Callithrix jacchus: one gene and its partners. The protein of the gene in region 1 interacts with the protein of each later gene in a biochemical or structural test. Links are inferred from orthologs where the notes say so. Each region holds a gene or a part of one and is shown in the gene's direction. Other genes may lie near its edges. The genes, in order: UBA1, UBE2R2, UBE2Q2, UBE2J1, UBE2L6 and ubiquitin-conjugating enzyme E2 C.

Evidence for each region.
Region 2: of the proteins of UBA1 (region 1) and UBE2R2, one has a biochemical effect on the other in vitro, tested with the Homo sapiens proteins (5 studies listed by BioGRID, with this or other methods). The link is inferred for Callithrix jacchus from reciprocal best matches to the Homo sapiens genes UBA1 and UBE2R2.
Region 3: of the proteins of UBA1 (region 1) and UBE2Q2, one has a biochemical effect on the other in vitro, tested with the Homo sapiens proteins (3 studies listed by BioGRID). The link is inferred for Callithrix jacchus from reciprocal best matches to the Homo sapiens genes UBA1 and UBE2Q2.
Region 4: the proteins of UBA1 (region 1) and UBE2J1 form a complex in vitro, tested with the Homo sapiens proteins (2 studies listed by BioGRID, with this or other methods). The link is inferred for Callithrix jacchus from reciprocal best matches to the Homo sapiens genes UBA1 and UBE2J1.
Region 5: of the proteins of UBA1 (region 1) and UBE2L6, one has a biochemical effect on the other in vitro, tested with the Homo sapiens proteins (2 studies listed by BioGRID). The link is inferred for Callithrix jacchus from reciprocal best matches to the Homo sapiens genes UBA1 and UBE2L6.
Region 6: of the proteins of UBA1 (region 1) and ubiquitin-conjugating enzyme E2 C, one has a biochemical effect on the other in vitro, tested with the Homo sapiens proteins (5 studies listed by BioGRID, with this or other methods). The link is inferred for Callithrix jacchus from reciprocal best matches to the Homo sapiens genes UBA1 and UBE2C.

The regions. Positions count from the first base shown.
Region 1 is NC_133524.1:48,161,098-48,166,104, forward strand, and holds part of UBA1 (ubiquitin-like modifier-activating enzyme 1), read left to right. Parts: coding exon 1-28; intron 29-987; coding exon 988-1,094; intron 1,095-1,370; coding exon 1,371-1,461; intron 1,462-1,572; coding exon 1,573-1,705; intron 1,706-2,252; coding exon 2,253-2,350; intron 2,351-2,457; coding exon 2,458-2,604; intron 2,605-2,740; coding exon 2,741-2,917; intron 2,918-3,045; coding exon 3,046-3,150; intron 3,151-3,238; coding exon 3,239-3,319; intron 3,320-3,632; coding exon 3,633-3,788; intron 3,789-5,007. UniProt on the Homo sapiens protein: Catalyzes the first step in ubiquitin conjugation to mark cellular proteins for degradation through the ubiquitin-proteasome system.
Region 2 is NC_133502.1:140,789,078-140,793,302, forward strand, and holds part of UBE2R2 (ubiquitin-conjugating enzyme E2 R2), read left to right. Parts: intron 1-2,515; coding exon 2,516-2,735; 3' UTR 2,736-4,225. UniProt on the Homo sapiens protein: E2 ubiquitin-conjugating enzyme that accepts ubiquitin from an E1 ubiquitin-activating protein, and catalyzes its covalent attachment to other proteins by an E3 ubiquitin-protein ligase complex.
Region 3 is NC_133509.1:25,156,431-25,162,186, reverse strand, and holds the start of UBE2Q2 (ubiquitin-conjugating enzyme E2 Q2), read left to right. Parts: upstream 1-1,877; 5' UTR 1,878-2,180; coding exon 2,181-2,360; intron 2,361-2,662; exon of another isoform or gene 2,663-2,981; coding exon of another isoform or gene 2,982-2,990; intron 2,991-5,756.
Region 4 is NC_133505.1:95,380,863-95,385,869, reverse strand, and holds the end of UBE2J1 (ubiquitin-conjugating enzyme E2 J1), read left to right. Parts: intron 1-2,429; coding exon 2,430-2,708; 3' UTR 2,709-4,469; downstream 4,470-5,007. UniProt on the Homo sapiens protein: Catalyzes the covalent attachment of ubiquitin to other proteins. Functions in the selective degradation of misfolded membrane proteins from the endoplasmic reticulum (ERAD) and is essential for cells to recover from ER stress.
Region 5 is NC_133511.1:115,123,843-115,128,522, reverse strand, and holds part of UBE2L6 (ubiquitin/ISG15-conjugating enzyme E2 L6), read left to right. Parts: intron 1-3,212; coding exon 3,213-3,399; intron 3,400-4,680. UniProt on the Homo sapiens protein: Catalyzes the covalent attachment of ubiquitin or ISG15 to other proteins. Functions in the E6/E6-AP-induced ubiquitination of p53/TP53. Promotes ubiquitination and subsequent proteasomal degradation of FLT3.
Region 6 is NC_133507.1:94,914,659-94,918,920, reverse strand, and holds ubiquitin-conjugating enzyme E2 C, read left to right. Parts: upstream 1-2,561; 5' UTR 2,562-2,614; coding exon 2,615-3,154; 3' UTR 3,155-3,343; downstream 3,344-4,262. UniProt on the Homo sapiens protein: Accepts ubiquitin from the E1 complex and catalyzes its covalent attachment to other proteins. In vitro catalyzes 'Lys-11'- and 'Lys-48'-linked polyubiquitination.

The DNA.
Region 1 (5,007 bases):
CGTTGAGGACTTCCTTAGTGGCTTCCAGGTATCTTGGGGTACCACCCAGCCTTCTGCCCATTTCTCTTAGAGCCCATTTCTCGTTTATTCAGTAGTGTTCAATATTGATTTAATGGGTCAGCCTGAATGTCAGGTTTTGTGCTGGGGGACTAGAGGATGCAGGCAGCAGCATTTAGCTCCTGGCCCTCCCTGCCTTTTCAAATGGTACAGCATAGTGGTTGTGGGCACAGACTCTGGAGCTAGACTGACTTACGGTGGGTCTCCAGCTCTGCTAGTGTGACTTCAAGCACGTTGCTTCATCTCCTGTACCTTAGTTTTCCTGTTTGTGGTCAGTGTGTAGTAGTAGCACTGGCTTCATGGACTATTTGTAAGGGTTAAGCACGTGGAATTGTAGCTGGAACATGATAAGGACTGGATGGGTGTTTGTTAATTAAAAAGTCCAGGCCAGAAAGAGGTACTCTGAGAGCTGAGAGTCGGCCCTCAGGGATCCCAGGTTGCCAGGGCACTGCAGCTAAATCCTGATGGAGGAGTAGGAGCTCACCCGGGTGGGTAAGGATGGACATTCAGGCAGAGAGCAAAATCCCAAAGATCATGGCGGAGCAGGCGTTGTCTTGAGAATTGGAAGCAGGTGGGTGTGGTAGGAGTGAGCTCAGACTTTGGCTGGAGACAGAGTTTTACTCCAGTGTCTCACAGGGCATGGCAGGCTCCTGTAGGCAGACAGCAGTGGGTGTTTGTCAGATAATGAGTCACCTCTTCCAAAAGCCATCCTCCCAGCTACCTCTTCACCTTTTCTGGTATAGTCCAGAGATTCATTTTTGACCCCCACAGTGTCTGATGCACAGTAGGTGCTGTGTTTTTGTGAAAGAGACTGACTCAGCAAAGCCTGGATATGTCTGCCATGAGGACTGCCTGAGTCCTCCACACCAGCCCTCCACCATTTTCTCCCCTTCACCCCAATGCTGGGCCTGAGCCTCCATCTCTCCACAGGTGGTGGTCCTCACCAACACCCCCCTGGAGGACCAGCTGCGAGTGGGTGAGTTCTGTCACAGCCGTGGCATCAAGCTGGTGGTGGCAGACACGCGGGGCCTATTTGGGTGAGTGCTGGCCTGCACCCCTCTCTGTTGCCTTTTCCCCTAACTCCTACCAGGCTCAGGCCAAGACCCCCAGGCTCTCCCTGCCCTCATCCCTTCACAGGTACCCAGGTTTTGGGTTCTGTGTGTTCATCTCTACCCATGTGGCCCAAGTACCGTCTTACATCCCAGCAGCGATAGGCTGAGTTTGCTCAGCAAGTTTTCACTACTATTTTGAGGGACCTGTGGGGCCTGTATGTGTGTGGGAGTCGGGTACCAGCCTATTGCCTCCCTCTACAGGCAGCTCTTCTGTGACTTTGGGGAGGAAATGATCCTCACAGATTCCAATGGGGAGCAGCCACTCAGTGCTATGGTTTCTATGGTTACCAAGGTAAGGAGATCAGCCCTGTGGTTCCTGGCAGACAGGTGGGCTGTGGTAGTCCTTCCTGTCTGCTCTTGGTACCCTGGGCCTGTTTCTGAGACTCACTTTTCCTTTAACCAGGACAACCCCGGTGTAGTTACCTGCCTGGATGAGGCCCGACATGGGTTTGAGAGTGGAGACTTTGTCTCCTTTTCAGAAGTACAGGGCATGGTTGAACTCAACGGAAATCAGCCCATGGAGATCAAAGTCCTGGGTGAGCTGGGACCGTGAGGGAAGCAGAGGGGAGGTAGGAGATAGGTTCCTAGGTTCTGGCCAGGGAGTTGAAGGGAGAAAATACGGCCCTGGGTTTGGAGTAAGGGGAGACACATCCTGGTGTTTGAGATGAACTACAGACAATCCCGGGGGGGTCCAACAAGAGCTGGTGGGCGTGGGGGAGAGGCGCTGTGTTCGAACTATTCCTGGGAGTAATGTATGCCTGGTATCCGAGCTGAGCGGGGAAAGGTCTCTGGTGTTTGAACAGGGCAGATCAGAGAATCTACTTGAGTGTGAGCTGATTTGGATGAGGAGCAGAGAAGGTCTTCCCATGTAGACTTAGAGCCAGGGTCACAGGGTCTCACGGAGTCTGAGCTGGGTCTGGGGCACAGGAGAGAGAGTTTCTGAAGTCCAAGTGGAGCCTGGGGTGGGGGGAGAAGGCTCCTGTTGTCTGAGCTGAGTGGGGGGCGGGGGGTTCCTTATCTTGCAGGAGTTGTGGATTTTAGGGAGAATGGGTAGACTGACAGCTCTCTTCCTGCGGTCTGTAGGTCCCTACACCTTTAGCATCTGTGACACCTCCAACTTCTCCGATTATATCCGTGGAGGCATTGTCAGTCAGGTCAAAGTACCTAAGAAGATTAGCTTTGTGAGTGTGTCGATGGGAGCATTGGGCTGTGGTGGGTGGTTCTAGGCATTCCCGAGTTCTCCATTCCTTCTTCTGGTTCTTATGGACTCCCGCTTCCCCTGCCACAGAAATCCTTGGTGGCCTCACTGGCAGAACCCGACTTTGTGATGACGGATTTCGGCAAGTTTTCTCGCCCTGCCCAGCTGCACATTGGCTTCCAGGCCCTGCACCAGTTCTGTGCTCAGCATGGCCGGCCGCCTCGGCCACGCAATGAGGTGGGTGGGTGGGCAGGCAAGCCAGCAGTGCAGACATGCCTGGTACTGAAGGCCCACCATGCCTCTCTGCCTGTCCACACTCCCTCCCCTCACTGTGGCCTGACAGATCCTCTCTTGGTTCTTTCTGGCCCACCAGGAGGATGCAACAGAACTGGTGGCCCTAGCACAGGCTGTGAATGCTCGAGCACTGCCAGCGGTGCAACAAGGGAACCTGGACGAAGACCTTATCCGGAAGCTGGCATACGTCGCTGCTGGGGATCTGGCACCCATAAATGCCTTCATTGGGGGCCTGGCTGCCCAAGAAGTCATGAAGGTCAGCATGGGTGGGGAGAGGCAGGGTTGGGGTGGGCCAGGTGCCTCCCTGACTCCATCAGTTGCTCTCCATCTGTGTCAGAGCCCTGTTAACCACTGACCACCCCTTTTCTCCTTTCCCGTCTCCAGGCCTGCTCTGGGAAGTTTATGCCCATCATGCAGTGGCTGTACTTTGATGCCCTTGAGTGTCTCCCTGAGGACAGAGAGGCCCTCACAGAGGACAAGTGCCTTCCGGTATGTGGGTGGGACTTGTGTGGAGGGCATCATTGGGGGCATTTCTGGGGAGGCCTCTCTCTAACTCTGCTCCCTTCGCATTCCTTAGCACCAGAACCGTTATGACGGGCAGGTGGCAGTGTTTGGCTCAGACCTGCAAGAGAAGCTGGGCAAACAGAAGTACTTCCTGGTGAGTGGTACCTTGGATGCCTGCTCCCCTCACCTCGGCCTCTGGCCATCTCCCCTCAGGCTTCCTTCAGCATGCCATCCATGGTGCATTGCCTTTGCCATTCTTATCTTGAAGGAAAGCCCAGTGCACCCCTGTTTCCTCCTCTGGTGCCTCCTTCCTCACATGACTGTGTGTCATTTCTTAGAGTCCTGGGCCCTGAAGATGTGGTATTAGTCCCTCTCCTCATCTCAGGGGAGTAAGGGGTGATGGGCAGCTTCACACTAGCCTGCATCATCCTGACCAGCCTCTGTCTGTCTTTTTGGTTGCCTCTTAGGTGGGTGCAGGGGCCATTGGCTGCGAGCTGCTCAAGAACTTTGCCATGATTGGGCTGGGCTGTGGGGAGGGTGGAGAAATCGTCATTACAGACATGGACACCATTGAGAAGTCAAATCTGAACCGACAGTTTCTTTTCCGGCCCTGGGATGTCACGGTGAGTACGGTGGGTGTGGGGACTTTGTCATCTCACTTTTCTCCTTTTTTTTTTTCCCCTTTGGAGATGGAATTTCTCTCTTGTTGCCCAGGCTGGAGTGCAGTGGCATGGTCTCGGCTCACCTCAACCTCCATCTCCCGGGTTCAAGCAATTCTCCTGCCTCAGCCTTCCTAGTAGCTGGGATTACAGGCATGCACCACCAAGCCTGGCTAATTTTTGTATTTTTAGTAGAGACTGGGTTTTTCCATGTTGAGCAAGCTGGTCTCAAACTCCTCACCTTGTGATCCACCCGCCTTGGCCTCCTGAAGGGCTGGGATTATAGGCGTGAGCCACTGCACCCATCTCCCTCCTTTTTCTTGTTCCCTTTTTGTTTTTGTTTTTGCCTTGACCTCGTCTTCATACTGGTTGAGATGATATGTCCGGGGTCCTCAGAACCACTCTCAAGCTCAGTTCACCGAGAGAATTCAACAGGATTCAGCATATAGTTGTGCTCGTGGCTATGATTTATTATAGCAAAAGGATACAGAGCAAAATCAGCAAAGGGAAAAAGCTGGTGGGGTGAAGTCTGGGAGAGGTGGGAGCAGCTCTCTAGGAGTCTCCTCCCAGTGGTAGTTATACAAGGTGGCCTTTATTTCCCCAGTAGCAATAGTAACGACAGTAATAGCAACAAAGTATAACATGAAATATTGCCAACCAGGAAGGCTTGTTAGACTTAGCACCCGTGCTTTTACTTGAGGCTGGTTATGTAGGCACCCCCTGCCTGGTACATAGCAAAATGTCCAGACTCCTAAAAGGAAAAGTGTTCAGCATAAACTGTATTGTTTGCATGAACAGTTTAGGCACAGTGAACCACTGATAACAGGTAGGGAGTGGTGGGAACCTTCCTGAATTCCGGGTTCCCAGACTCCAGCTGAGGGCCAACCTTGGAAGCAGCATTTTCAAGAGTTGCAGTTTCAGTCTCCTAGGCTTACACTTCTTTGCATATATGGAAACTGAGTTGGTTATACAGGGATCTCTGAGAAGCCTGTGGGGAACAATGTCACTTTTGCTTACCCAGGATTTATTCTCCCTTTCATTTATTCATCAAATAGTTATTGAGGTGCTGTTTTAGGTATTGGATATACCAAGGAATAAAACAAGATTCTTGGAGGGGAGGGGAATGGACAGCAAACAATAGATACAATACGATCGTGAGGTATAGAGTTAATGTTGGTGATGA
Region 2 (4,225 bases), on another chromosome or scaffold:
AATCAAAAACGATGAGTTCGTGTCCTTTGTAGGGACATGGATGAATCTGGAGAACATCATTCTCAGCAAACTGACACAAGAACAGAAAATGAAATACCACATATTCTCACTCATAGGCAGGTGATGAACAATGAGAACACATGGACACAGGGAGGGGAGCACTACACTCTGGGGTCTATTGGGGGGAATAGGGGAGGGACAGCGGCGGGGGGAGTTGGGGAGGGATAGCATGGGGAGAAATGCCAGATGTGGGTGAAGGGGAGGAAGACAGCAAATCACACTGCCACGTGTGTACCTATTCAACTATCTTGCATGTTCTGCACATGTACCCCAAAACCTAAAATGCAATAAAAAGCAGGGGGCAGACCGTCAACTGGGCACTGTGGCTCACGCCTGTAATCCCACCACTTTGGAAGGCTGAGGCAGGTGGATCGCTTGAGCTCAGGAGTTCAAGATCAGCCTGGGCAATGTGGCAAAATCAGATCTCGACAAAAAAATTAGTCCGGTGTGGCGACTCATGCTTGTAATCGCAGCTACTTGGGAGGCTGAGGTGGGAGGATTGTTTGAGCCCTGGAGCCAGAGGTTACAGTGAGCGAAGATCGCATTGCTGTATTCCAGCCTGGGTTAACAGTGGGAGACCCTATCTCAAAAAGAAAAATCAGTTGACGAGGGGACCAACATGGACTAAACTGAGGCAGTAGCAGTAGGGATGAGATGACAGATAAAAAAATATTTAAGCTGTGGTCAGGTGCAGTGGCTCATGAGGTCGGGAGTTCAAGACCAGCCTGGCCAAGATGGTAAAATCCCATCTCTACTAAAACTACAAAAATTAGCCAGGTGTGGTGGCAGGTGCCTGTAATGCCAGCTATTCAGGAGGCTGAGGCAGGAGAATTGCCTGAACCTGGGCAGCAGAGGTTACAGTGAGCAGAGATCATGCTACGGTGCTCTAGCTTGGGCGACAGAGTGAGACTCCTCCATCTCAAAAAAAAAAAAAAAAAAAAAGCTATAAAACAATAGGTCTTCGGAGTGAGATTTATTATTTTAAGCGATGTTTATTCAGAGAGGTAAAATGGGAGAAACTGGCTACAGAGGTAGAAAATGCATATGTAGTCTACCTCTGCATATGGAACATCAGGACAGAAGCTTCCAAAAGGCATTTGTTTATATAAGCCAAGAGCTGTCAGCATAAAATGAGTGGTGGCTAAAATATGGGAACATATGATTGATGTCCCAGGGAGAATGCTGAGTGGAGATTCAAGCTCAGAAACCTCAGGACCATCCATATGCAAAGCAAGGCAACAGAAGAAGAGCTTCAAGTACAACCAAAAGATATTGACATTAGGAAGATCAAGAAGAGTGCCTTGACTCAAATTTTTGTAATTGTTGAAGGAAACAACATATTGCTCTGTTCACTCATAGAATTGACTGCACACCTCTTCTGTGCCAGGCTTTGTGCTAGGCACTGGGGAAATAGAAGAGACTAAGACAGACATTGACGCTCACATTAGAATATGGGGAGACATAAGAATGAGCAAACAAAAAATACTAGATAGTGCTAAGTAGGATAATGTGAAAGTGTGACTAGATGGTTCTTTAAATTGGGTTGTCTGGCCAGGCCTTCTCTAAGGTGATTTGTAAGCCTTAACATCCGAGGCATTGCTTTCTGAGTGACAAGGAGGAGCCAGGCATGTGTGAAGCAGGGGCACAGCAAGTGGTGCAGACAGAAAAATCAACGAGGTGTGTCTGAGATACCAAAAAAGACCAGGGTGTTATACCTAACACTGTAAAAAATAAATACAAATTAAAAAAAAAAAAAAAAAAAGGCCAGGGTGAATGTGTTGAAGTTGGAGAAAGTGATGGGCTGGGAGAAAATACAAGAGTGGGTTGTGTGGCCGGGCTCAGTGGCTCAGCCTATAATCACAGCACTTTGAGAGGCCGAGGCAGGTGGATCAGGAGTTTTGAGACCAGCCTGGCCAACATGATGTAATTCCCATCTCTACCGAAAGTACAGAAATTAGCTGGGTGTGGTGGTGCATGCCTGTAGTTCCAGCTACTCAGAAGGCTGAGGCAGGAGAATTGTTTGAACCTGGGAGGTGGATGTTGCAGTGAGCCAAGATTGCGCCACTGCACTCCAGCATGGGTGACAGAGCAAGACTCTTGTCTCAAAGAAAGAATAAAAGAGTGGGTCATGCAAGACTTTGGAATCTGGCATAAGGTATTTGAATTTTACTATAAGTGAATAGAATTGTTGGGGGCACATAATGAGTTTTGGTGATGAGGCGACTCAGAAGTGGTTCTGGCTATAACTGATCCATTGCTTTAAACTTCCTTGACATAACACTGTATTTCCCCCCTAAAAGGTCAAAGTTTACATAGTACAGGGTATCTGTCAGATGCTTTCAGGCAGGTACTGAAGTTTGGAAATCTGAGTCATAAGTAATGATTATTTAAGGCCAGTTATAAATCTGTCTCTAAACAGTGACTTACCATAAACCATTTGTCACCCTCCCTCCAGGAAACAGGTTTCAGCCACTAAGGCTGAAGCAGAAAAGGATGGAGTGAAGGTCCCCACAACCCTGGCGGAATACTGCATCAAAACTAAAGTGCCTTCCAACGACAACAGCTCAGATTTGCTTTACGACGACTTGTATGATGACGACATTGATGATGAAGATGAGGAGGAGGAAGATGCCGACTGTTATGATGATGATGATTCTGGGAATGAGGAGTCGTGACGTGCTCCTTCAGTGCCCCTGTACTGCCCTGCCGTCTCAGGCCAAAGGGAGGGGAGCAAGTGGGGACCTGGCCATGGCCCCTCAGCAAAAACCTATTCACAGTGGGCGGGGAAACACACAGCTCCTGCTGACTCCCCTTATGGATCTCAGTTTCCTCCTTTTTATGGACCTTTAATGGAGAGAGAGTAACCCTCCACAGAATGTCTGAATTCTTGCATTCTTTACCCTTCCATCACTGTATTGATTCTTTTTTTAAAAAACATCAACCCAAACTCCCGCCTCACTCCGTCTCTACAGAATGTTCACAGCAAAACACGTTTGGTCTGTTTTTAGATTCTTGAAGAATTAAATAGTCTTTCAAGATGTTTAATGTGTTTAAAGCTGAAACCTGTTGGGAGTTCACAAGTGCTGCATATACTGGGTAGCAAAAGAAAATGGAAAAAAAAAAAACTCACAAAACAAACTTAAAAAAAAAAAAAGCAAATTTGCCAAGGTTTAGCTGCTCATTTACATTAGCCTGTGTGCATTCGTTCAGCCCCAAGGTGGTGAGTTTTGTTTCTTTCCCTTCCTAAGGCTGGGATATGGTGGGTGTCAGGGACTTTGTGCTAAGCCTGATGAAATATGCTCCTCCAATCTCCATGAAATCATCCTAAAACATGGAGGCCTCAGCTATTCTGAGGAGAGAAATCAGACTTTGTTTTTTGAAATCGATTGGGATGGAAAGCCTGAAATAAATATTCATACTTTACATAGAACTGAGCACTTGGTTGCTGTTTATTGCAGGGTTGTTACTCCCTCCCCCCCCGCCCCCCAGGGAGTGGGGCAAGTTGGGAAGTTGGGATGAGTGTGTGGGGGTGGACTTAGTGATGGGAACAAAGAGTTAAAAATCACTACGCTGTTTGGTTGATGCTACTGGTGGCCACCGTTGGGAGAGGAACCATCTGTTTTATATTTAGCATGGCCTTCCCATCAGAAATACACTCTTACCATGTCGTTTTGTTTCTTGTTTTTTCAGGAGCCACCTTTAATTACTCAGTATTAATCCTAGGTGCATGTGTTAAGATTTTGGTTTTTCATCGAGCTGCTTATACTGATTGGTAGTGAAAAACATGGATGTGTGTGAGACAAGTTGCCAGTTCTCGCTGTCTTCATTGGATGCGAGCTGGACTTTTTTTCTCCTTTCAACATACTTGGGCTGTGGAGCGCAAGCAGAATTTGTGCATAGAGCTCCCCTTGGGATTGTGTCTTGTGGCTGAGGGAGTTGACTGCAGGCAGTTTTTAGGCCAGGTAAGGCTATATATTCCTGTGATGCACTCGCTGCAGCTTTGATTTTCCAGATCTCTGTCGTGTTGCTTCAATTAGTATTGAGATCCAGCAGCCTTCACCATCGAGGGACTTCAGAACTTGAAGGTGATTTTTGGATGTTATGGGGGTGCACCAAATCATAGGAGGGCATTATTCTTTGGAGGAAACCGCTATAATGTAAAATC
Region 3 (5,756 bases), on another chromosome or scaffold:
AGGTTGTCTTCCCTCCCTTGTGACTCAATGATCACACCTATACCATGGCTTCCACCATCACCCACCACCTGTGTGGCTGACCCAGTGTTATGTCCTTTGCTCTGACTACCCTCATCAACTTCACACTTAAGATACAAACTCTCCAAGTTCCATCAGCCTACCAAATTCAACCTATTTTTCTTGATGTGTCAATGACATCACTCCCTCCTAGCCACCTGCTCTAGAAATTTCAAAGTGTTACTTTAAACAAGTTTCCTCTCTGTCCTTCTATCCTCTCGTGATCTCTAAGATGTAGCAGTTCTGCCCCACACTGATTCCCAGTGCGGTCCTTTCTATTGCCATTTTCCCTACTTCAATTTTACTCACTATTGACTTGGACTGATCCAAGCTGGGATAGAAGATGGTAGAAGTTGGGGCGTGGCCAGGACACGGTAGGGTGGTTTGAATGATAGGAGACCCAATTTGTAGGCTGTGGGGAGCTACTAAGTTACTCAGGTAAATTGGGAAAATGTATGTCTTCTTGCAGACTAAACAAAAACTTTCCGTAGACTTAATGTGTCCCTGTGTTGTTCCGTATTTTGTCATGTAAGGGGAACAGTACCTCGGGGACTTCTTGTAGATTAGGAAAAAGAGACATTTAGGTGCCAGGGTTAGGTAACTCTAGGTAAGACTGGTTTAAAAGGAAACTGCGGGGCCCCTTTTTGAAAAATTACGAATTTCAAAATGGTGACACGAGAGTACTAAACCAAACTCGGAACCCTTCTAAGCTGGGAGCACTGTGCAACTACACAGGTTGGATGCACATGCAGCTCATCCTGCCCCTCGCATTTATTACACACAGTGTTGTCTGCCAAATTGGGATCTATTCCTTTGGACTGCCATGCAGTCCTTTATTCATTTTTTGAGCACCTAGAATGTGCCAGGAATTGTGCTAGTGGTGGGGATTCCAGATAAGAGCGAGCATTCGATTCAATCATATCGGGTTTCTACCATATAACAGGTCTGGTTCTAGGCCCTGGGGATACAGCTCTTAACACATTAACATTGGGCAAATCAACGGCGAACAGATCAGGTGGTGACAGGTGCTCAACAAACTTAGCACAGGATGATGTGACACAGGGTGACTATTTGAAACTGGGTGGTTAGGGAGGCCCGGAGATGACATTTGAGCCAAGAGTTTAATGAAAACAGCGGGCAGCCCTGGCTCCATAGGGATGGGAGCAGAGAGGGTTATCTTAAGCTCGGGAAATAGGACAAAATAAGGAAAGTGGAAACAATATATACGGCAGAGTGAACACAGGTGGTAGTTAAGGGAAAGGATAAAATCTTGGGAGGTAAGAGGAAACAGCCTGCGGGTGCCAAACCATCGTCTGGGTAAATGGACGGTTTGAGAGCAAAGACGGGAGGAGTGAGTCCCGCGAGAAGGTCCTCACAGGACCCAGGCTAGCGAAGCGGTGGCTTACACCAGGGTGAGAGGGGCGGAGGTGACGCTGGGTGGGCCGCACCCGCGTCTCCCACGAGGTCCCGCTGGTGTGGTTAGCGGGTGCCGCGCCGAGGGCCAAGCGGAGGCGCTGCCCCCAGGGGCTGGCTCGGGTCTGCAGCTGCGCCGACGTGGCCGGCGCGATTCGCCGCGCACGTGTCCGGTCCCAAGCCAGGCGCGGGGACGCGCGGGGTCTCCGGCTCCTCCCCGAGTTCTGGGGCCCGAGCGCCAGCTGGCTCAGAGCTAACAGTCCGCGGGTGCGAGGAACGAAGCAGATGGGTCGGGCAGAAGGGAGCTGGGTCAAGGCGAGGAGGGGGCGGCTGGAAGTGCCCGCGCGCGCCCCGGCCTCGTGCACGCGCCGAAACTGGTGCGCGCAAGGCGCGCCGGGGTGAGGAGAACGGGGGCGGGGTGGGGGCAGCCCTTTCTCAGGCGGTGGTGGGGGCGGCGACGCTGTTGCCCTTTTAAGCCGCCGGGCCACCTCCTCCTGCCGCTGGAGTGGGTTACAAAGGGAACAGCACTCCAGGCAGCCTCACAGCTACCCGCCGAGGTTTCCGCGCCCCTCGCCATTTTCCAGTCGCTCTCGACGAGGCGGAGCCGCCAGAGCGCGGCCCAGGCCGGCCCCGCGGGGCGGTCGCGGCCGTGACTGCGGCTCCGGGCCCGGCTCCCCTTCCGCGCCCCTCCCGCTGGAGATGAAGGGAAGATGTCCGTGTCAGGGCTCAAGGCCGAGCTGAAGTTCCTGGCGTCCATCTTCCACAAGAACCATGAGCGATTCCGCATTGTCAGCTGGAAGCTGGACGAGCTGCACTGCCAGTTCCTGGTGCCGCAGCCGGGCTGCCCGCACTCGCCGCCGCCGCCGCTCACGCTCCACTGCAACATCACGGTGAGGCACCCGACCGCGGCCCCGGGGGGTAGGGCCAGGGCGGAGAGGGGGCGCCCCGAGTCCTGGGACAAAGGGGGGTCTGCCCTGAGAGGCCCCGGCTCCACGGGCGGGGCAGGTCCGCCCCTCTCCCTCGCGACTGGCCCAGCCCAGGTCCGGCTGGGGCCGTGCGAGGCTTGGGTGGGAGGGGGCGGGGGGCGCGTCTCTGTCCGGTTTCTCGCTCGGCGTCCGCTTAGGGGCTGCTGGCCCCTCTCGGCCCCCGTCGCCGCTCCGCGAAGTGCGAGCCCGCGGCGGCCCGAGCTCTCACGGGGCCCATGGCCGCCCTTAGCCGGCCTGCTCCCGGGACCGCGGCGGGGCGGGGAGGCTCTGGCTGTTGTTTGAGCCCAGGCGGGCGAGGGGAACGGTCCTTAAGTTTTAACGCCTCATTCTTCAGTCAGGTTTTCCTCGTTCCCGCTTGTGTAGCCAGTTCTTTTTAAGTTTGCGTTTAAGGAGAAACTGACAATGAAAACGGACTCGTTGACCGAGGAAAAGTTGGAATGCGGCCCCTGGTGCTGTTGGAGCGACCGCTCTCCCCGGGCCTGGCTGCGCGCTGCCGTGTTGTGAAAAGGCGCATAGTACCCGTCGATGCGGCAGGTGGTGTTGAGTGTGTGTTCGTGTGGCTCCTCCCGTGTGTGTAAGCCTCGAAAATGGATGGGTGAAAGGAGATTCGCGCCAGGGCTGCTCCCAGGAAAGATCACTTGTGTCACAAAGCCGAAAAGACACTTTGAAAAGCTCACTCTTTGGTTTAAGCGGAAAGCTCGTTAGAAACCCAAGGCTTGGTAGAATAGTTGAAGTATTAAGTAAGTTTCTCCATAAAAGTGTGTCATGATGCTATTCGTTGTGAAATTGATTTAGGATATTGGTCCCAACTGCTGAATATTCTCTTGGTTGTAAAAGGCGTCAAGGTGGTGGTTTCGGTCTCCTCTTCAAATACGGCTAAACCGAAGTCTCTTGTCTTTAACTCCCTTTGGTTGAGTCGGTGGGCACCAAGTGCCTGCAGTGTGGCTGGTGTTTGCAAAAACCTTGACCTTATAATTGGCCTTAAAATGTTTACCAGACTATCTGGGGAGAAGATGTGTTCATTTCAGAAGACAGTGCAGTTCAGTGATGTATTGAGGAGAGAAATCATTTATTGAATGAATACGTCTGAGTGTTCTGGGCACTAGTGTTGCAAAATTGAGCAGAGCAGTCCTCGCTTTCAAAACTCAGACTTCTTGGGGGAAGAGTTTTCAACAAAGTGGCAGCTCCTGTGGTATCTCGTGAAAGGCAGAGTGAGCAGCCGGTTTTGATTTGGGGGAGGGGGGTGTGCTTCAGAGAAGGCTTTCAGGAGAGGCTGAGACAGTTGGAGCTGAGCTTCCATAGGTGAATACAATTTTGGAAGGCTGGAGGAAGGGCTTTTGAGACTGAGGAAACTCCACCCAGAAAAGACATGGAAACTTGAGAAAGTGTGGTTTGCTTAGAAGTAGAAATTTATGCTCAGACTTGAGAAGCCCAAGATGTAAGAGGGCGAAGGGGAAGATTTTTCCGAGAGTGGAAACCGAAGCGTAGGAGTGGGCATAAAGCACGTGTTATAAGGAGACTGGCCTGAATGGCTTGGAGGGTGATTATTCTCATAGAAGTTGGGGCATGGCCAGGAAAAGGTTGGGCTGGTTTGACTGATAGGAGACTGAATTTTGTAGGCTGTGGGGAGCTACTAAGTTACTCAAGTGAATTGGGAGAATGTATCTGCCATCCAGGACTAGAAGTGTTTCTCTGCAGTGGGTGGCATTAGGAAGTGTGGTTATCCCACTGAGGGTAGGGTGGTCTTGTTGCTGTGCTGGCATTTAATGCCAGGGGTGCAGAGATGCCAGATGTTTTGTTACCTTCAGGCGGTATGCCATAACAAAGAATTATCTCACCTAAAGTGCTCCTGGTGCTCCATCAAGAACCGTACTGGACACTGCCAAGAGTCTGCTACAGACAAAGATAACGAGTGATCCCTGGATTAGGCAGTGGCAACAGAAGTGGAGCAAGAAGTGAAAGAGACACTTTGAGTACAAGGAGGATTTGGTGAGGACTAGCGTAATGGCACCGCTAAGTAGAAACTATTAAGATTGAGGTGCTAGTGAAATTTGACAGACTATCAGAAGATAATTATGGCAGCTGCTCAGTACAAATGTCTGCTAACTTTTTATTTTGGAAAAACATCAAACGTACAAAAGTTGAACAGTGTAATGTAGCCAGCATCAACAATGATAAACTTTTGGGTAATCTTATTTCTTCTGTGCTCCGCTTTGGATTATTTTGAAGCAGATTCCAGACAGATCACTTCATCTGTAAATATTTCTGTTTGTATCCTTTGAAAGTAAAGACTCTCTTATGTTTTATTGCTAGTTTTTGAGACGGAGCCTCACTCTGTTGCCCCAGCTGGAGTGCAGTAGTGCGAACTGGACCCACTGCAACCTCCACCTCCCGGGTTCAAGCAGTTCTGCTGCCTCAGCCTCCCGAGTAGCTGGGATTACTGGTGTCCACGTCTGGCTAATTTTTGCATTTTTATTGGAGACAGGGTTTCATCATGTTGGCCAGGTTGGTCTTGAACTCCTGACCTCAAGTGATCCACCCACCTCGGCCTCCCAAAGTGCTGGGATTATGGGAGTGAGCCACCGTGCCTGGATGTAAAGACTCTTCTAAACATGGATGAGTGTTTTGATAAAATCAACATGGCTTCTGCATGTCCATACCATTTGTTTAGAAGGGAAAGATCAAGGGGAAAATGGGGTTGGATTTCAAATTATTTGGTTTGATTTATGATTTGTTGTTCTCTGAAGTTGTAGCTCTTAAAAAAAAAAAAAAAAAAAGGGCCAGGCGTGGTGGTTCATTCCTATAATCCCAGCACTTTGGGGGGCTGAGGTGGGCGGATCACGAGGTCAGAAGATTGAGACCATCCTGGGTAACACCTTGAAACCCTATCTCTAGTAAAAATACAAAAAATTATCTGGGCGTGGTGGCAGGTGCCTGTAGTCCTGGCTACTCGGGAGGCTGAGGCAGGAGAATCGCTTGAACCCGGGAGGCAGAGGTTGCAGTGAGCAGAGATTGCACCATGGCACTATAGCCTGGGCGACAAAGCGAGACTCTGTCTTAAAAAAAAAAGAAAAAGAAAAAGGCAATGAGTTTGACCTATTTAACTTTCCTCTTTAGACAGTTCTAGTATTTATTGAGTTCTTCTACATGCCAGGCCCTATCTTCTTTATGCTTACCCAGAAGCATCCTTAACGGAGTCTCTCTAATATTTGAGAAACTAGGTTGTCTTTTACACACATAGATGCTAGTTCCTGAAGAGTCATACAGAGGTACTTTGCCAGCTTTTCCTTTCAGACTTCT
Region 4 (5,007 bases), on another chromosome or scaffold:
TATTGTCTAAGAAATTGGTTGGCCTAGGTGATCAGAGAGACTGATTAAAAAAATATGACTGGATTGGTGCCAAAGAATTAGGATAATGAGGGAAAAATGATTTTCCTTCCTATATATAAAAGATGAACCGTCTTTTGAGGTCTTTTCTAACAGATTGTTCGGTTAAGTAATCACATCCTTTTTGTTGTTGTTTCTTCAGTTTATTGAGGACTTTAAAGGGTGAAGGGAAATTGAAATAGAAGTTGGACAGATGCATATTTGCCTTTTACCCAGCAATAACTTGTATAAAGTGGGACTGAATAGTTTTGAGTAAGTCTCTACTATTCAGAGAGTGAGCTGGGCAGGGAAAAGTTTGTTGAAGAACAAGGGAGAGGGTGGTACTATAGGGGACTGAAGATGGAGGTCCAAGAAAAAAGCATGTGGGGATCAGTTTAATCATTTTTATGTGATCCCAGTGTAATTTATGAATTGCAGAGGAAAATAATAAATTAATTTTAAAGTCAGTATGTTTTAGTTTAAAATACTAAAAAAGCTTTCTAATTACTTTCTATTTCATAGTTTTCTTAAGGAAGGTGATAATCTTTTTTTACCTTTTAGGACAGCCTCCTAATGTTTGTGATGTATTTAAATCCTTTGTGTATTTTAAATCTATGTTAAGTCCCCCTTGTTACATATTCCAGTTATACTTATTCCAGTTGTAATTTACTTTGTAATTATTTATTGTCTATCTCTCTTCCCAGAATGTAAGTCCCTTGAAGGTGAGGGGTCTCTTTCAACTTCTCCACTGTATCCCCAGTGCCTGGCTTAGTGCCTTCTATACAGTAGATTGTCAGTGTTTATTTGTTGATTGAATGAATGAATCTTAGGATTGACACTTTAAAAAATGCTAGGAATATAATTAAATAAATCAAGAAGTAAATTAGAGTATACAAACAATGATGTTATTATAGTAGTATTTCTCATTTTGATTTTAATCTACATAAAACTTAGAATTCTTATTCATAGATATAGGTCATTAATTGATACCATTTTTGGTTAAAATACCAACAAGCAATCAGTTGTCTACAATTGCAAGTTAAGCTTTTAATTATATTTACATATAAACTATCTCAGAGTATGATTATGTAATTTACCACTGTGAAAGTAACTGAAACCAGTTTGGCTAAGGGTGATTACTTTACATTAAATGTAATATAAATTCATTGATATGTTATACATCAAATCCCAGATAAGCTATGATTTTTTTTTTTGTTGTTGTTAGCCTTGAGGAGGAGCAAGAGATTGTTAAAACTCTAAATACAGCTGATAACATCAGGCCATCTGCTGATTTTTGTTGCAGTTATTTTAGCATCAAGAAGTAATGGGAAATGCAGAAGTGGGAAAAACACTAATGGCAGTTTTGTTCTTGGAATCTATCAGATTTTCCCCTTTTCCCAGGGATTGAGGTTCTGAAATAAGCCATTTCATTTTATATTAAAAAGCAAAACTCCCTCACACATGCTGGTTATTCTAGGTTATTATAGAAAAATTTGTATGTGTATATATATAAGTATATATATCACTAGGGACTTAACTAAGAATGTGATTTTTTTTTTTATGAGACAGAGTCTTGCTCTGTTGCTCAGGCTGGAGTGCTGCGTGTGATCATAGCTCACTGCAGACTCAAACTCCTCAGCTCAAGTGATCCTCCTTGCCTCAGCCTCTCAAGTAGCCAGGACCACAGATGGGCACAACCACACCTAAGTTTTTAAATTTTTTTGTAGAGATAGTGTCTTGCTCTGTTGGCCAGGCTGGTCTCAAACACCTGGGCTCAAGCAGTCCTCCTGCCTCAACCTCCCAAAGGGCTGTATGATTGTTTGAAATAGGAAACATTTTAGAATTTTATCAAGGTACTCAATTTTTAGTCAGTGTTATACCATCCACAAGGCATCTGAGGCTGGGCACAGTGTCTCATGCCTGTAATCCCAGCACTTTGGGAGGCCAAGGAGGAGGATTGCTTGATCCCAGGAGTCCAAGACCAGCCTGGGCAATGTGCAAGATCCCATCCCTAAAAATATAATGATTAAAAAAAATAGAGACAAAGGCATCTGAAACACAGGAACCTAATTAAAACATTATATGTATATAAATACTTTCAGTAAGTGTATGTGTTAAAATATCATCTAGGGTCAATGTTTTAAGGGATTGTTTTTCTAAATATATCAATAAAACTAATAAAAGGCCAGAAAGCTGTCCTGAGTTACAACTTTTTTTTTTAACCTAAATTTAGATGCCTCCGAAAGGATACATTATTAGTAACTATCATTACTGGTAGTGTTGCCTTTAGCCATATGTTGTACTCTGAGATTCTATGTATTCTTGAATAGATAACAAGCATTTATACAAATCTTCTTTGCCAGTTTCAAACAAAATTTCTTAAAATTTCCTAGAATGGAGTCCAGAATTCCTCAGCAGCATCCTTTCAACAACCTACCCAGCCTGTAGCTAAGAATACTTCCATGAGCCCTCGACAGCGCCGGGCCCAGCAGCAGAGTCAGAGAAGGTCATCTACTTCACCAGATGTAATCCAGGGCCACCAGCCAAGAGACAACCACACTGATCATGGTGGATCAGCTGTACTGATTGTCATCCTGACTTTGGCATTGGCCGCTCTTATATTCCGACGAATATATCTGGCCAATGAATACATATTTGACTTTGAGTTATAATATTGTTTTGTGACTTAAGAGCTGTGACTCAACTGCTTCATTAAACATTCTGCATTGGGTATAATGTAAGAATTGTTTACAAAAAGATTATTTTGTATTTACCCTTCATTCCTTTTTTGATCCTTATAAGTTTAGTATAAATATATCTAGACATTCAGACTATGTCTAGCAGTTATGTCCTGCTTAGTGTAAGGGACTGGAAGTCAAAGTTCCTTGTCTCACTATTTGATCTGCTTTTCAGGGAAATAACTTGTTATTTTTTCTCATGCATCGCCTTCTTTTTATGTAAATTTGTAATACTTTCCTGTATTGCCCTTTGAAATTTTTGGATAAAAGATGATGTTTTAAGTTCCAGTGAGTATTACTAGTTACTCAATACCATTTATTGAGTACTCTATTTCTACGTATTTAGAATGTATAGGGTTAAAACAGTTGAAAAGGGTAAGCAAAACTCAAGTAGTTTCCTTAAAAAAAGTCATTCGTAGGAGATTTACTGGGATTGCTCATTCTGTGACTTTGTGTCCTCAACATTCTTCAGTGAAAAAACTTTATTTCAGTCAAACATTTATGAGGAAATGAGATCACATCTTTGTCACTGGATGTTACTTGAAGAGGGAGTACTTTGTAACCACTTTGATATGCTGTTATCACCACCCCCTGACCCCTGTTGCCATACTCACACAAATTTAACAAGAAGTAAAACAGTCTTCCATAGATTTTTGTTTTAAGGAAGAAAGGGTCCAAGCTAGGAGATCGCTTTATTTTCTTCCCAGAAGTTAAATGGGGAGATCTTAAGATTTGAATGTTTGCTCTGCTTTGAAATGTATGTCTTTTGAGATGTATTATATGCCTAGCTTTATAATCACTATAAATTTTAATTCCAGGAATATGCATAATATTGAAATATTTCATGTACTATTTTAATAGAAAACCTCAGGGCCCAGGTAGCAGTGATAGAAGTTAGAAAAACATTTACTTAGAATTGTCTACCTAGTCAGAGCCCAAGAAAGAATTTTGAAAAATCAATATATAACTTAGTGCTAGCTAGCTCCACAGACTCTAATAGATAATATTCTCATTATAATGCCTGGTGAGACCATGTAATCACAGAAAAACCTTGCCTTCAGCATGTTCAGAATTGTCTACCTAGTCAGAGCCCAAGAAAGAATTTTGAAAAATCAATATATAACTTAGTGCTAGCTAGCTCCACAGACTCTAATAGATAATATTCTCATTATAATGCCTGGTGAGACCATGTAATCACAGAAAAACCTTGCCTTCAGCATGTTCAGTTCGCAGCACTGAAGGCACTCTTGAGGGTGTTGTTAATGAAGATTTAATTTTTAAATGTAGGTAGTCCCAAGCTTTCAAATAGGTTATGCTCCAAATGGGTGTTTGTAAGTTAATTTTTTTACAAGTCAAACAATGTTGGAAATTGTGTTTAGGTTCTAGATCAGTCCACAAAAGTTAGCTCATATGTGTATATCTTGGATAGGGGAGGGTATTCATAAAGTCCTTATGTTGTTTTAACCAACTGAAATTATGGATAAGAGAAACAATTTGTAAAATCATTTTAAAGGCAGATTTAATTTTTATTCCTGTTTATGGAACATTGGTTCTATTAAAACTGTCAGACACAATTTCTGTTTTCATCTGAGAGCCAGTTTTCTTTTATTTCTACATCTAAAATAAGAACATATTGTACACTATTATATAATACAGAATTGTCTTAAACTTTAATAAATTAGCATTTTAAAGGTGTTTATAGATTGTTTTTTATATCTGTACTGAAATTGATAAAGTCTAAAAAGCTCAAGGACTTTATGAAGAACTCATGTGGGGAAAATCATAGGTTACCATTTATGACTTTATTGCCATGATAAAATACATTCTAAAATCTTGATGTGAAACATACTAGAGATATTGGTTCAGTGCTCAGTGGTTTCCTAGCAAGAAGTCACTGACCCAGCTGGGAAAACCAGGTAGTATCATATGAGAAGAAAGGAATCCCCACCACTTTAACCTCTGCTGAGATTAATTGTGTGCTAGGAACAGTCTTCCTTCCATTTCCCCTCAGTCAAACCTGAGCCAGCCTCTGGATCAGTGTGATCTTGTTGCATGTTTCCATGGGGTGTACCTATACTTTAAGCCAATCCTGCTGCATTCACTGCTAAGTTAAAAAAAAAAAAAAGCCAAGAAGATTTTGCATTTTGCAGATCCTTCTCTCTCTGACTTGCATCTCTTCCCTCACCTGTCAAGTAGCTACCTGCTTGTTTGTGTTGGGATATTTTTTAGCACC
Region 5 (4,680 bases), on another chromosome or scaffold:
TGGGATTACAGGCATGAGCCACCGTGCCCAGCCTCGATGTTGAAGCTAATAGTAAGGGTTCTCATTCCCTGAGAGTCTCCTGTGGACCAAGTGCTGTTTTATCCTCTCAACCATCCATTGAGGAAGGTTTTCTTTCTCTGAAAATTGCAGAGATGGAAACCAAGGAGGTTAAGTAACTGGTCTGTGTTTACTCAGAATAAAGTAGTAGGAGTGGAATTCAGCGGACTCCAGGGTCTTCTCTCTTAACCACTCCATGAAAAATGAATAGTTTTCAAAATTTTTTTTAAAAAGTAGCAGGTGGAGCACAGTGGCTTACGCCTGAAATCCCAGCACTTTGAGAGACTGAGGTGGGTGGATCACCGGAGGTCAGGAGTTTGAGACCAGCCTGGCCAAAACTCTTTTTCTTTAGTAGAGACAGCAACCCTGTCTCTACTAAAAATACAAAAATTAGCTGTGCGTGGTTGTGGGCTCCTGTAATCCCAGCTACTCAGGAACCTGAGGCACAAAAATTGCTTGAACCTGGGAGGCAGAGGTTGCAGTGAGCCGAGATTGCATCATTGCACTCAAGTCTGGGTGACAAGAGTGAAACTCTCTCTCAAAAAAAAAAAAAAAAGGAGCAAAATACCTTATTTAACCTAGTACTTAGAAGGTAGTAGGACTTTCTCAAGTGACAGTAAGACACAGTATGGAATCCTCTGGTCCAACTTCTCCATTTTACAAATGAGGCAACTGATCCTCAGAGAAAGCTCAGTCATACAGCAAGTCCGAGGCAGAGCTGGGACAGGTCCCCAGAGCTCTCAGCTCCAGGACTCTGCTACCTCCTTCCTCTGTTAAGACCTACAAAGCCCAGAAAGAAGCCCCTTCAGACAGGATACACCTACACCCTCTCTTAGTCTGTTTGTGTTGCTGTAAAGGAATACCTGAGGCTGCGTAATATACAGAGAAAAGAGGTTTATTTGGCTCAAGCTTCTGCAGGCTGTACAAGAAGCGTGGCACCAGTATCTGCTTCTGGTGAGGCCTCGGGCCTCAGGAAGCTTCCACTCATGGTGGAAGGCAAAGGGGAGCTGCGTATACAGATCACATGGCAAGAGAAGTGAGAGAGAGAGAGAGAGAGAGAGAGAGAGAGAGAGAGAGAGAGAGAGAGAAGAGAGAAGAGAGGGCAGGTGCCAGGACGTTGTAAACAACCAGCTCTCTCGGGAAGTATTAGAGTAAGAACTGTCTTATTACTGTGTGGATGGCACTGAGCCATTCATGAGAGACCTGCCCCCATGACCCATACACCTCCCACAAAGCCTCACCTCCAACACTCGGATCAGATTTCTTTTCTCTTCTTTTTTTCTTTTCTTTTCTTTTCTTTTCTTTTCTTTTCTTTTCTTTTCTTTTCTTTTCTTTTCTTTTCTTTGAGACAGAGTCTTGCTCTGGAGCGGAGAGCAAGACTCATTGCAACCTCTGCCTCCTGGTTTCAAGCAATTCTCCTGCCTCAGCCTTCTGGGTAGCTGGGACTACAGGTGCACACTACCATGCCTTGTTAATTTTTTGTATTTTAGTAGAGACAGGGTTTCATCATGTTGCCCAGGTTGATCTTGAACTCCTGAGCTCAGGTAATCCGCCTGTGTCGGCCTCCCAAAGTGCTAAGATTGCAGGCCTCAGCCACCGCACCGGCCTTGGGGAGCAAGTTTCATGAAATCTGAACATGAGGTTTGCAGAGGCAAACATCCAACCACAGCACCTTCCCATCCTCCTCTGAGGCTGCAGCCCTTGGCCTTCTCCGACTGACAAGTCCAGCACTGTCTTCTTATTTTCTTACTGAGACCATAAGAGCTGAGATATTTTCTTTATCTTCCTACGAGTTACTCCATCTCTTATCTCAACGTGCTCAAGATCACCGTGGTTTCTATTTTGCCCATTAAGGAGGAGGAGCTCTGAAAATCTTGACTCCGCTTAACCACATAGGCCATTCTTGCTGTCTTTTGCTCTGTCCTTTCAATAACAAAAGCTCTGAAAAGATTTGGTAATTTGGAATCAGCCTGAAGGCACCTGTGTTCTGCACTGGGGTCACCCAAGTTCTGGGGTTTCTCCCTCCTGGGGAGGTGGCTCACGCCTGTAATCCCAGCACTTTGTTTAGCTTATTTCCCTCAGTACAGTGTCTTCAAGCTTCATCCATGTTGTAGCATTCATCAGAATTTCATTCCTTTTAAAGCCAATAGTATTCCATTGTGTGTATATGGCACGTTTTGTTGGCTGAGCCATTGATGGACACTCGTTTGCTTTCACCTTTTGCCTATTGTGAAGAATGCTGCTGTAAACATCCGGATACAGATACCTGTTCACTTTCAGTTCTTTGAGTACATACCCAGAAGAATTGCTGCATTGTGTGGTAGTTCTGTGTATAATCTTTTGAGGAACAGCTATACTGTTTTTTTTTTTTGTTTGTTTGTTTTTTCGTTTGTTCTTGACTCGGAGTCTTGCTCTGTCACCAGGCTGGAGTGCAGTGGCACGATCTCAGCTCACTGCAACCTCCGCCACCTGGGTTCAAGCGATTCTCCCGCCTCAGCCTGCCGAGTAGCTGGGACTACAGGTGCGCACCACCACGCTGGGCTAATTTTTGTATTTTTAGTAGGGACAGAGTTTCACCATGTTGGCCAGGATGATCTGGATCTCTTGACCTCGTGATCTGCCTGCCTCGATCTCCCAAAGTGCTGGGATTACTGTGTGATCCACTGCACCTGGCCTGCTATACTGTCTTCCATCGCAGCTGCACCATTTTATTTTCCCAAGCTCTTGAGTTCTTAGGATTTTCTCATTTTCTCCATTTCCTCACCCCCATTCTACTGTCCTAAGAAAGGATGTTCTATCCTTTTCTTCCATAATCTCAGAAAGCCTTGAAAGCTGAGATGGTTGTTAGAGCTCACCTAGGCCATCTTTATCCACTTTTCAATTGAGGAAACTGAGGCCTAGGGGTGGGAAGTGGCTCACCTGTGGTCACACAGCAAAGGCCAGGATCGGACTTCTCTGCCCACTAGGCCAGTGCCCTTTGGTGATTCCACACTTTGAGTAATCCATAACTCAGTTGTCAAATGAATGCAGGTGCCGTGCATACCCTGGCTCATGATTCATCCTGGAAGTGAAGCAGACAATACCTAGGACCCTCGGATGGGGGCAGGAGGGGAGGAAAACCAAACCAGAGCTTGATCCTTTTTCTCTTTGCACAGGACCAACCTCCTTACCACCTCAAGGCCTTCAATGTGTGCATCAGCTTCCCCCAGGAGTATCCGTTTAAGCCTCCCACGATCAAATTCACAACCAAGATCTACCACCCCAATGTGGATGAGAATGGACAGGTTTGCCTGCCCATCATCAGCAACGAGAACTGGAAGCCTTGCACCAAGACTTGCCAAGGTGGGTCTGGGCTTTGCCTGGAGGAGGGACTGCTATTGGAGGAGGAGAGATTACTGGAGAGGGGGTTCACAGACTTACTCTGAGCTTGAAAAGCCCAAAAAAGAGGAGATAAAAACTGTGAGTCTTGGCTGAACTTACTGTGAGATAGAAGGGGTGCTTCCTGGACAGGCTGACTTCCTCCTGCCTCTGTTTCTATACCTGGGCAGTAGTGACAGAAGAACTTTGCCGTGGTTCATGGGAGAGGCAGCTTGGCTGCACCAGGAAGGGCTCGGGATAAGAAAGCCCCCTGTTCCCTCTGTAGACTTTGGGCAAGTTTTCGATCCTTTCTGGGACTCTGTGTCCTAAATGACAGTGGAGGGAACTGGCCTAATAATAATGATAAGACCTGTCACTCGACTGAGCACTGTGCGAAGAGCATCTCAGGCCGACTTCATTTGTATTTCCTCCACAACCCCATGAGGTAGTGTTGTCATGTTTAATAGACCTGGACATTGAAGCCTGTGAGAGGTGAAGTGGTTGCCTGAGCTCATACAGATGGCAAATGACAGCACTTGGCTGGCTCACTAGCCACATGTGGTGGTTGTAATGGAGGAACTCAATTCTTTTTTTGAGACAGAGAGTCCTGCTCTGTCGCCCAGGCTGGAGTGCAGTGGTATGATCTCGGCTCACTTCAAACTCCGTCTCCCAGGTTCAAGCGATTCTCCTGCCTCAGCCTCCTGAGTAGCTGGCATTACAGGCATGTGCCACCATGCCTGGCTAATTTTTGTATTTTTAGTAGATATGGGGTTTTGCCCTGTTGGCCAGGCTGGTCTCGAACTCCTGACCTCAGGTGATCCACTCACCTCAGCCTCCCAAAGTGCTGGGATTATAGGCGTGAGCCACCATACCCAGGCAGAACTCAATTTTTAATTGTAATTAATTTTAATTCTTTTTTTTTCTTTTGACCCAAAGTCTATCTCTTTTCCCCAGGCAGTTTAGTGGTGAGATCTTGGCTTACTGCAACCTCCACCTCCTGGGCTCAAGCCATCTTCCCGGCTCAGCCTCCCAAGTAACTGGGACTACAGGAGCATGCCACTGTGCCTGGCTAATTTTGTATTTTTGGTAAAGACCATGTTTTACCATGTGGCACAAGGTGGTCTTGAACTTGTGAGTTCAAGCCATCCATCCATCTTGGCCTCCCAAAGTGTTGGGATTCCAGGTGTGAGCCACTGCACCTGGCCTGATTTTAATTAATTTAAATTTAGATGCCCGCGTGTGGCTAGTGGCTGTCATATTGTACAA
Region 6 (4,262 bases), on another chromosome or scaffold:
ATATTGGGTATGTATTTGTGATCTAGAGTACGAAGTGTGTTTGCCGTGGTGCCACAGGTAATTAAAAATTATTAGTTTGGGCGGGTCACAGTGGCTCAGGCCTGTAATCCCAGCACTTTGGGAGGCCAAGGTGGGCAGATCACCTGAGGTTGGGAGTTCAAAACCAGCCTGACCAACATGGAGAAACCCTGTCTCTACTAAAAACACAGAATTAGCCAGGCGCGCTGGGGCATGCCTGTAATCCAGCTACTCAGGAGGCTGAGGCAGGAGAATCACTTGAATCCGGGAGGCAGAGATTGTGGTGAGCCAAGATCGCGCCATCGCACTCCAGCCTGAGTAACAAGAGCAAAACTCCGTCTCAGAAAAAAAAAGTACAGTCAGGGGAATGGCCAAGTCAAGTGCAGTGGTTCACGCCTGTAATCCCAACCCTGAGGCCAAGGTGGGAGGATTGCTTAAGCCTGAGCAACAGAGTGAGACCCTATTTCCAACAAAATAATGTTAAAAATTAGCCACACATGGTGTTCAGCATGGGTATTCCCAGCTACGTGAGGGGCTGAGGTGGTAGGATGACTTGACCCCAGGAGGTCGAGGCTACAGGGAGCTATAATCCCATCACTATACTCCAGCCCTGGTGACAGAATGAGCCCGTCTCAAAAAAAAAAGTAAAATCAGCCCTCCATATCTGTGAGTTCCACAGCCATGGCTTCAACCTACCACAGATAAAAAATATCTGGGAAAAACAATGCATCTGTACTGAATATATACAGATTTGTTTTCCTCATCATTATTCCCTAAACAATAATGTAACAACTATTTACATAGCATTTACCTTATATTAGCTATTATAAGTAATCCAGAGATGATTTAAACAAGAGGATTTGCTTAGGTTATATGCAAATACTGCATCTTTTTTGGGAGGGGGATGGAGTCTGTGTCACACAGGTGGGAGTAAAGTTACAGTGGCACTATCTCAGCTCACTGCACTCACTGCAACCTCCACCTCCCATGTTCAAGCAATTCTTCCACCTCAGCCTCCCAAGTAGCTGGAACTACAGGCGTGTGCCACCACACCCAGCTAATTTTTTTGTATTTTTAGTAGAGACGGGGTTTCATCATGTTGGCCAGGATGATCTCAATCTCCTGACCTCATGATCCACCTGCCTTGGTCTCCCAAAGTGCTGAAATTACAGGTGTGAGCCACTGCACCCGGCCAATTTTTGTATTTTTTAGTAGAGACAGGATCTCACCATGTTGGCCAGGCTGGTCTCGAACTCCTGACCTCAAGTGATCCACCCACCTCAGCCTCCCAAAATGCTGAGATTACAGGCATAAGCCACCATGCCCTGGCCTATGCCATTTTATATAAAAGACTTGAGCACCCTTGGATTTGGTTGTCCCCAGGAGGTCCTGGAACCAATGCGCCACAATACCTAGGATGGCTGTACTGTCTCAGTTATCTCTTCTTGCTAAAAAGGCACCCAGAATGTAATGGCTTAAAGCGGGAATTTGGGCAGAGCTCAAAGAGGATGGTGTGGCTCTTCCCCCACTTCATATCAGCTGCTCTCCACTGGGGCTGGGCCAAACTGGAAGTTCCAAAATGGCCTCACTCACATTGTAGTATCCCACTGGTCTGGAGTTGAGTCCAAGGTTCTGGTTCCCTTGAATCCTCTCTTCACCATCATCTGTAGTTCAAGCCCTTATTGTTTCTCACCCAAACTATTGCACCAGCTTTTTGTCAGGTAGATCAACTTAGAACTTGAATGTATTTGCTTACCAACCTTAAGTAGTTCCTATTTTCCATAAGACAAAGCTCAAATCCCCTATAATCTATTTTGGCCTCGTGCCCTACATTCTGCCACTTCCTCTAGCCCTGCTATATATTCAGACTAAATCATACTTCAGCCGGACGCGGTGGCTCACGCCTATAATCCCAGCACTTTGGGAGTTCGAGGCGCGTGGATCATGAGGTCAAGAGATCGAGACCATCCTGGTCAACAAGGTGAAACCCCATCTCTACTAAAAATACAAAAATTAGCTGGGCATGGTGGTGCGCGCCTGTAGTCTCAGCTACTCGGGAGTCTGAGGCAGGAGAATTGCCTGAACCTGGGAGACAGAGGTTGCGGTGAGCCGAGATCATGCCATTGCACTCCAGCCTGGGTAACAAGAGCGAAACTCCGCCTCGAGAAAAAAAAATCGTACTTCTTGTTTCTCAGCCTCACCACATATTTTCTTTTTCTTTTTTTTTTTTTGAGATGGAGTTTCGCTCCTGTTACCCAGGCTGGAGTGCAATGGCACGATCTCGGCTCACCACAACCTCTGCCTCCCGGGTTCAGGCAATTCTCCTGCCTCAGCCTCCCGAGTAGCTGGGATTACAGGCACACGCCACCATGTCCAGCTAATTTTTTGTATTTTTAGTAGAGACGGGGTTTCACCATGTTGATCAGGATGGTCTCGATCTCTTGATGTCGTGATCCACCCGCCTCAGCCTCCCAAAGTGCTGGGAGTATAGGCTTGAGCCACCGCGCCTGGCCCTCCCTGATTTTTAAAAATAAAGTTGGCCAGGCAGTTGCAGTCGTGTTCTCCGAGTTCCTGTCTCTCTGCCAGCGCCGCCCGGATGGCCTCCCAAAACCGCGACCCAGCCGCCACTAGCGTCGCTGCCGCCCGTAAAGGAGCCCAGCCGAGCGGGGGCGCCGCCCGGGGCCCCGTGGGCAAAAGGCTACAGCAGGAGCTGATGACCCTAATGATGTCTGGCGATAAAGGGATTTCTGCCTTCCCTGAATCAGACAACCTTTTCAAATGGGTAGGGACCATCCATGGAGCAGCTGGAACAGTATATGAAGACCTGAGGTGTAAGCTCTCGCTAGAGTTCCCCAGTGGCTACCCTTACAATGAGCCCACGGTGAAGTTCCTCACACCCTGCTACCACCCCAATGTGGACACCCAGGGTAACATATGCCTCGACATCCTGAAGGACAAGTTGTCTGCCCTGTATGATGTCAGGACCATTCTGCTCTCCATCCAGAGCCTGCTAGGAGAACCCAACATCCATAGTCCCTTGAACACACATGCTGCTGAGCTCTGGAAAAACCCCACAGCTTTTAAGAAGTACCTGCAAGAAACCTACTCAAAGCAGGTCACCAGGCAGGAGCCTTGACCCAGGCTGCTCAGCCTGTCCTTGTGTCATCTTTTTCATTTTTCCTTAGGTCTTCTGTCCTTTTTGTGATTTCTGTATAGGACTCTGTATCTTGAGCTGTGGTGTTATTTTTGTTTTGTTTTGTCTTTTAAATTAAGCCTCGGTTGAGCCCTTGTGATGTATATTAAATAAATGCATTTTGGTCGTTTTTTTAGACAAAAAATAAATAAATAAAGTTGGCCGGGGGAAAAAAAAAACAAAAAGAAATAGCTCAGAAAATCTTAGAGATAATACAATGAAATAAACTTATTGAATGTTATCTGTTTTTAAAATGTCAGCATTGCTTTGTAAATACATTGCTTGACATTGCAGCATTTTCAAAAGATTATACTTTTGCAATCTTAAAATGTTTTTAATTTTCTTTCTGAGTTTTTCCACAGTTTATTAGGGAAAGAAGCATAAAAGGAAAACAACAGAAATGTTTTGTTGTTAGGGTGACCTAACAGTAAGTTTAAATACAGGAAATTGGGCACTGTGTTGAATGTCTCCATTATTAGCACATAAGCGATCTTAAATAAATGTCTAGTGCATTAGACACTCTTTAACACAAGGTTATCAGGACTCTGCTTCCAAGGGCAGGCTGGCAACATATTTCAGGAAAGATGTGATGATTCTAACGTAGTCTTTGAGCTATGCGAGCAATACAGCAGTGAAGACTCACGAACATTTTTCCCTTCCTGTCTCCCCCCAAGCCCCAGAAATGTTAGGGAACAAGAAGGAAAGAAAAGCCTGTACTGCATATTTTCCAGGCACCAAATAGCATCAAAGGGCAGTATGATACTACAAACTTTGGCTAATAAAATAAACTGACACAATTAAATGACCATTGAAAATAAACATTGTGGTTTCAAAGATTTATTGATGATTTAGGGTGAAGTTTTCATATTATGCACTGTCTTAATGTGGGACTATTCCCTTTCTTTTTGCTTATTTAATAAATATCTGTTAAGCACCTGTATCCACTAGGCACTGTTTTAGGTGCTGGTGCTTCAGTGGTAGATAGAGCCCCTGCACTCATAGTTCACACTTTGTGGGTTGGGATGCAGACAGCAAATCAGTAAACAGACAC